Canis lupus familiaris: one gene and its partner. Each later gene encodes a partner of the first gene's protein in a complex. Links are inferred from orthologs where the notes say so. Each region holds a gene or a part of one and is shown on either strand. Other genes may lie near its edges.

Region 1 (3,271 bases):
AAATGCAAATCCCATCAGGTCATTTACTTAAGACCCTTCAAAGGTTACTGATGCAATTCTGGCTTTTTGCTATGACTCACAAACCTGATTCTTCCCTTGCCATTTGTTCCTGAGTACCAAATTGTTTATCTTCTCTTGTTCCCCCTCCCGGCTCTGCACACACTTTCACTTTTCCTCAAGGTAGTCTATGCCCTTAACATGTCCCTCGACTCCCTTTACCTGGTTCATTTCCAGTTCTCTTTAAAAACTCAGAAGTCATATCCTCCTGTGAACCTTTTGACTCCCTGAAGGTAGCTCATTTTTGTGTAGCAGAAAAATTCTGGGTTTTTAAAAACAGACCTATTTGATACTTGGTTCTGACGTAGACTAGGACAGAGCCTTGGACAGGTACATCTCCCCGAGTCTTTTCCCTCCTCTGTTAAGGGGGCATATCAATACCTGCGTCGCACAGTAATCAGGGAATAATTAAGTGGAATAAAGTTGATGAGTGCCTGACACAAAGAAGTAGGCGGCAGATGTTAGTCCCCTTCCTCCTTTGCACTGCATACTGTGTCTACCTCTAGTATTGTAACTCCAATGTAGGACTGAAAATGCCAGCTAACCTGTTTGCCTCCCCGACTGTCAGCGCCGAGAGGACGAGAGTCTCGTCCTGCTTAACTTTGTACTCCCAGGCCCTCGCTCAGGATGGGCAAATAGGAATTAAATAAATGTGTGTTGCGTTGAACACCCCCCCCCCACACACTCGCTGTGATGCTGCGTATGTTGTTTATTCAGGCTGAAATACCTCCTTCCCCAACTATGGCAACACTGCACATTCCTACTGTCCTCCATTCCCAGGGCAGTCGCGGGGGGCGGGGGGGGGGGGAGACTTACAACCCTTAAAAGGCTGAGTAAGGGAACTGGAAAGGATACAGACTGGCAGGCAACCCGTGGCCGAGGGGGGGGGGTCCCTAAGCAAGGTCTTTAAGTGCCAGGTTGCAGGAGGGGCAGGAGGGGCCCCGGACCCGCAGAAGAGCGTCCTAGACGTCGACGGTTCCCAGCCCCGCGGCAGGGCCTAGGACTTCGCCCGGGGGGTGGGGGGGGTGGGGGGGGGTGGGGGCGGGGGGAGGGCGGGGGGCGTGGGGGGAGGGCGGGGGGAGGCAGCCCGGCGGCGGCGGCGGCATCTCACTGGCTAGCCGACATCCAGGAGGCGGGAGACCCGACACAGACGACAAACATGGCGTGGGCGGGGCGAAGCGCGGGGCGTGTGACGTCACCCGGCGTGTGCGTAACGTGAGCGGAAGCGGAAGCGGCTCTGTTCGCCGCCTCTCCCACCGGCCCGATGAGCTGCAGCGGCTCCGGCGCGGACCCCGAGGCGGCGCCGGGTTCCGCCGCCTCGGCCCCGGGCCCGGCGCCCACGGTCTCGGCCCCCGCAGCGCTGCCCGCCGGCACCGCTGCGGAGAACAAGGCCAGCCCCGCGGGGACAGCGGGGGGACCCGGGGCTGGAGCTGCGGCAGGGGGCACGGGACCCGTGGCGGCGCGGGCCGGGGAGCCGGCCGAGCGGCGCGGGGCGGGTGAGGGCCGGGCCGGGTGAGGGCGAGGGCAGCGCCGGGGGCTGGGCCCGGCGGCGGGTGAGGGCGGGGGGTTTGAGGCCGACCTAAGCGGGGCTGCGCATCTTCCACCTCCATGTCTATTTGCTGCTTCTCCTCCAGCTCCCGTGTCGGCGGGCGGCGCGGCGCCCCCGGAGGGGGCCATGTCTAACGGGGTTTACGTGCTGCCGAGCGCCGCCAACGGAGACGTGAAGCCGGTGGTGTCCAGCACGCCTCTGGTGGACTTCCTGATGCAGCTGGAGGACTATACGCCTACGGTGGGCTTCCTGCCTGAACAGGCTATTGGGGCGCTGTCAGGCCAAGCTTCCGCTACACCACCTGGATTTCCAGCTTTCTTTCGTACTTGCTCCCCTACTAGCTCTTTGATTTATCCCCTCTGCCCACCCAAACCGTGGGCTTCCTGAAAGCCGGGCCTGTCCTCCATTTCCCTCATCCTCTCAGCCCAGCAGTGCACAGGGCACACACTGACAGTCCTCTCGTTGATCTCTCAGATCCCAGATGCAGTGACTGGTTACTACCTGAACCGTGCTGGCTTTGAGGCCTCGGACCCACGCATGTGAGTACAGCTTGGGTAGGTTACAGCCTTGGGTGCTTGTGTGGAGTTTCTGGTCTCCTCTCCTTCTCACCCCAGTTTTTTCTCTCTAGAATTCGGCTCATCTCCCTAGCTGCCCAGAAATTCATCTCAGATATTGCCAACGATGCCCTACAGCACTGCAAAATGAAGGGCACAGCTTCTGGCAGCTCCCGAAGCAAGAGCAAGGTGTGAGGGGAGGCTCATTGAATCAGTAATTATCTCCCACAGCATCGGAGGCTTAATTTGTCCTGAAACCCCTTTGGGGAAACTAAGCCCTAGGGGAGGTGAAAGACCTACTCAGGGTCACCCACCTGGGATTGAAATCCGGAATTCCCCTGCTCAGCTGGTGCTCTTCCCTCTTCCCTCAGGACCGCAAGTACACTCTAACCATGGAGGACTTGACCCCTGCCCTCAGCGAATATGGCATCAATGTGAAGAAGCCGCACTACTTCACCTGAGCCACCCAACCTAAATGTACTTGTCTGTCCCCCTGTCCCCACACCAGCCTGTTTTCATAATAAACTTTATTGTGACAGGCAGGGCTGGTCCCTCCCATGCTGGGAGATACCGTGTGGCAAGTGACAAAGCTCTGAGCCTAGCCCCTTTGGGGGCTGCAGTGGTAGGGATGGGGGCAGGGGATGGGCCCCATGGCTGGGGTAGTACCATGACTGGAGGCAGGGGAGGCAACCAGAGGCCTGCTGCTTTGGGGAGACACACTCCCCTAACCGTGTCCTGACACCTCTGGAGTTTAGGCAAGGGCTTTCCAGCTCTACTTGTCCTGCATCTTCTCCAGGATAGGCACAATCATGTCAAACTTGGGCCGCTTAGCAGGGTCTTCATTCATGCAGATCTTCATGAGCTTACACACATGGGGGGAAATGCCTGGTGGGATAGTAGGCCGAAGGCCTTCCAGTGCCACCTGCAGATACAGGAAAAAAACAAAATGGGTCTCAGAACTTCTAATATCCTGTGAGGAGAGGCCTCTAGTCCTCAGGAAAGGATTACTGTATATTTGAACAAATATGGGAAGAGCCCAGCCCTGCTATAGTTGTTGTCACCACCACTACCATTCCTTCAACATAAGTGCATACAGTTGTTCTCTCACCTT
Region 2 (4,370 bases), on another chromosome or scaffold:
TAGTTATCATGCCTCCTTACTTTCCATTGATCAGTGACAGTTTCTCAAATTAAGGTCATTTTTCATGACCTTGACCCTTCGGAAGAATTCTGGTTAGTGATGGTGTAGAATGTTCTCCAATTTGAGTTTCTCTGGTGTTTTCTCATGATTAGACTGTGGGTACTCATTACTAGAAAGGGTACCATACAGGTGAGGTGCCCTCTTAATGCATCATATTGGAGGTACATGATGTTATACATTACTGGTGATGTTGACTTTGATCATCAGCTAATACTTTAGACATTACTTGTCTGCCAGGATTCTCCATTGCAAGCTTACTATTTTTCCTTAAATATTTGAGGAAGATACTTTGTCATTAACATTTTGATGAGCATAATTCACCAGTATATATGTTAACTGCATTTGGTTAAAGGGTTTGTAAAGACACAAATACCAGTGAATTATTTGAAACTTTGTGTTATAAAGTAGCAATTAAAAAAAAAACAAGGGATCCCTGGGTGGCGCAGCGGTTTGGCGCCTGCCTTTGGCCCAGGGCGCAATCCTGGAGACCCGGGATCGAATCCCACGTCGGGCTCCTGGTGCATGGAGCCTGCTTCTCCCTCTGCCTGTGTCTCTGCCTCTCTCTCTGTGTGTGTGACTATCATAAATAAATGAAAATTAAAAAAAAAAAGAAAAATTTAAAAAAAATAAAAATAAAAAAAAATAAAAAAAAAACAAAGTTTCGGATAACAGATGTCAGCCAATAAATTATACAAGATTAAAGTAAGACAAGGAGAAGGCTGTGAATATTCCAAACTCTTATCATCACAAAAATAAAACAAGCCAAGCAGAACAAACATTTCTGCTAAGAAGTGACAATGCAAACATCAGTCTGGGATGCTCTGCCGTGGAAATCCCCTTCTTACGCTGATATAAGAAATAAAAACAGAATAAAGAGTATCAAAGATGGATTAAGGAGTGGTCAACTTTAGGTGAGACATTGAGATATGGAGGATTTGAGTCATTAAAAAAATATAAATATATACCGACTGCAGTTTCAAGAGCATTTGGGAATCATTCAGTCCGACCCAGCATAAATAAACCATATATTCATGTGCTGCCTCCTTTGTCACTACTCAGCCATAACTACGTGTAAAAGACACAGGATGGAGAGCACATTCTCACAGTGCCTTTCAGGGACTAGCTTTGACTGTCACTAGGAACAGCAGCTCTCCCTCTTGCTGCTGCCAAAAAGAGTCAAGCCTATCTATTGAGGGAATACACTAGAGAACCAATACATTACAATCTCTATGCCACTGTACTGTCTTACACTACTCATCACCTTTCTGTCTTGTCCAATGCTTTAGTCCGAAGGCCCAACTTAATTCCTACCATCAGTACCTGTTCCAGGATCCATCATAACCTTAGACTTGTAGTCTAGGAGTTCTGCTGCAATAGTAAGGGACACAAAAAGTAATGGAGGTATGTTTTTTGGCCCTGAATTGAAACACTGATCACATTTCTTCAATTAAAAAGAAAAGTGCATATACACGCCCACCCACCTACACACACACACAAATTGGGGTTAGGATCACTACTATTTGATTCAGAAGTTAAACACGTTTTATGGGCAAGTCTGAGAATATTGTTCCCACAGAGAACATTAATCTACTTTGAATAAACATGTCTAAAAGTTTTTATTGTCGGGATCCCTGGGTGGTTCAGCCGTTTAGCGCCTGCCTTTGGCCCAGGGCATGATCCTGAAGTCCCAGGATTAAGTCCCACATCCGGCTCCCTGCATGGAGCCTGCTTCTACCTCTGCCTCTCTCTGTGTGTCTCTCATGAATAAATAAGTAAAATCTTTTAAAAAAAAAAAAAAGTTTTTATTCTCTGTAATTGAATCATTGTCAAATATTACTTACATTCTTTAGAAAAAAGTCTCTTCCTTTTACCCTGTCCGCCTTCTGCACCTCCTCCAATTTCTTCATTTTCTTCCTCAAACTACAAATTAAAACGTATATGTGAAATGTCAAGTGCTGCATTTGATTATTAAATAATTAACGTTTAATTTTTTTTTCATTTCTAACACTGATATTGTGCCAGAAAGCCTAAAGCAAGCAGCAAAAAATCATGAAATCTCAGCGTTTTAAGAACCTTAATGACTATCCAGTCCAACTTTCCACTTACGCAGGAATGGCTTCTACGATGTCCCTAACAAATAATCCTACTGCCTCTCCTGGAAGTTATGATGACCATACGTTTTTTTTTTTTTAAACCAACTAGTTAGTCTATTACTACAGTTTTTACTATTAAGAATTGGTACTGAATCAAAGTAAGCAAACTAGTATTTACTAAGCATCGCTTACACAGGACTAGGAACTTCCCTCCAATAAGCCTGAACCCCATTTTTTGACATGTAAACAAAGGCTCAAAGTTAAGAAACTGGCTCAGAGATAAAAGAGGTTTTGAAATCCAGGTTCCCTGATTTTCGGTCCATTATTTTCCCACAACTCTACAGTAAGCACATAGTTTTGTTATCAGCTGCAGTATCGGTTCATAAAGCGCGCTAACAAACAATTAGCATTGTCCTCGGATGGCTTTCCAGGCGATTCGGAGTGTCCAGCAAACAGACACCAAAAGCAAAAGCAAGCAGAAGCAAGCAAGCAGCCACCGTCCTACTCTTCACGTCCTGCCCCACGTACTAAGAGATGAACCCGAAGGGAAAGGCTAGCTGGGCGTGAAGTCTCCGAACTCTCTCCAGTGTACTGGCTAAGGTGAATCTGAACTCAGGCTCCGCTCCTGTCCCCCAGGGAATGAAGAAACGGGTGGGTGGGAACGGCGGCGGTCACTCACAGCAGGGTCTTCCTCCTCGTCGGCCATGCCGCCGGCCAGCCTAGAAGCCGCAGCCTCGCTTGCAGCCGCTTCACTAGTTCCTCTGCCTCACTTCCGGTGACGCGCCGGGAGGGGCGGGGAGGGGCGGGGCCTAGCCGGGAGGGGCGGGGGCGGGGCCGAGCCGGGAGGGCGGGGAGGGGGCGGGGCCGAGCCGGGCGGGGCGGGGCCTAGTCGGCCAACCCGCGAGGAGGTCGCGCGGAGACTTAACGGCAGGTGCAAGCGGACAGGGGGATGAGCCGCAGGTTCTGTGATCAAGATCACGGATTGATTACGTATTAGGAAAGAAAAGGAAATCGTAGACTGGGCAGTGTGTATGTTGTGGCCCTGAATTGGCTTCTACGTATGGAATCACCGCTCCCTGATTCGGGGCTGTGAAGCTACGTATCACTGGGGTGCCAGTGGTCCTTGGGATGCCCGAAGAGTGTGTTTACACAATTTTAACAACCTATAGTTACACTATTATTATTTTTTTAAGATTTAATTTATTTATTCATGAGAGAGAGAGACAGAGACAGAGGCACAGGCAGAGGGAGAAGCAGGCTCTCTGCGGGGAGCCCGACATGGGACTCGATCCCCGGTCTCCAGGATCAGGCCCTGGACCAAAGGTGGCGCTAAACCGCTGAGCCACCGGGGCTGCCCTAGTTACACTCTTTTTTTTAAATTTATGATAGTCTCACACACACACAGAGAGAGAGAGAGGCAGAGGGAGAAGCAGGCTCCATGCGCCGGGAGCCCGACGTGGGATTCGATCCCGGGTCTCCAGGATCGCGCCCTGGGCCAAAGGCAGGCGCCAAACCGCTGCGCCACCCAGGGATCCCTAGTTACACTATTATTAATTGCCAAGCACTACACTGATTATTGGGTATGTTTTCCTTCGCCGCTAGTTTTTAAGAGGAAAACATCACCCCCTTAAACTGAGGATTAAATATTTGTGGGGAATTTTGTGATCAGAACAATGAAGAAAACCACTGGCGTTAGAAAGCTAAAGCTAGGGATATCAAATGTTCTGCAATGCAAGGCATGATGCCACACAAGGAGAAGTTGTCCCACAATATTTCTGAATGCCCTGCTAAACATTCATGTGAATGAAAAACCTATAATTATCTGAGCCTAGAACCTAACTTTGTTTAGATACTAAACATGTCTTATGTTTTTTTAAAGATTTTATTTATTTATTCATGAGAGATAGAGAGAGAGAGAAGCAGAGACACAGGCAGAGGGAGAAGCAGGCTCCATGCAGGGAGCCCGAGGTGGGACTCGATCCCGGAACTCCAGGATCATGCCCTGGGCCAAAGGCAGGCGCTAACCGCTGAGCCACCCAGGGATCCCCTGTCTTAAGCTTTTAACTCACATTTTCTAGGAATGAAACTGTGGGATAACAAAATATATATATATATATATTGGTCTCTGCTTCCAGTTCCTGGCACAAAGCTTCTAAAACCCTTGCAATTCCTAAGTGATAAGAGCATAGGAGCATTTTTTATTCTCATGAAGCAATT

What was found.
Region 2: TAF10 (region 1) and TAF13 share a complex: the UniProt entries of both Homo sapiens proteins name them as parts of the TFIID basal transcription factor complex. The link is inferred for Canis lupus familiaris from reciprocal best matches to the Homo sapiens genes TAF10 and TAF13.

What each region holds. Positions count from the first base shown.
Region 1 is NC_049242.1:30,425,293-30,428,563, reverse strand, and holds TAF10 (transcription initiation factor TFIID subunit 10), read left to right. Parts: upstream 1-1,298; 5' UTR 1,299-1,321; coding exon 1,322-1,553; intron 1,554-1,691; coding exon 1,692-1,846; intron 1,847-2,080; coding exon 2,081-2,145; intron 2,146-2,234; coding exon 2,235-2,349; intron 2,350-2,531; coding exon 2,532-2,621; 3' UTR 2,622-2,726; downstream 2,727-3,271. Other genes in the region: ILK (integrin-linked protein kinase), read right to left, coding at 2,933-3,082, 3,269-3,271. UniProt on the Homo sapiens protein: The TFIID basal transcription factor complex plays a major role in the initiation of RNA polymerase II (Pol II)-dependent transcription.
Region 2 is NC_049227.1:43,170,072-43,174,441, reverse strand, and holds the start of TAF13 (transcription initiation factor TFIID subunit 13), read right to left. Parts: upstream 2,916-4,370; 5' UTR 2,860-2,915; coding exon 2,833-2,859; intron 1,981-2,832; coding exon 1,902-1,980; intron 1-1,901. UniProt on the Homo sapiens protein: The TFIID basal transcription factor complex plays a major role in the initiation of RNA polymerase II (Pol II)-dependent transcription.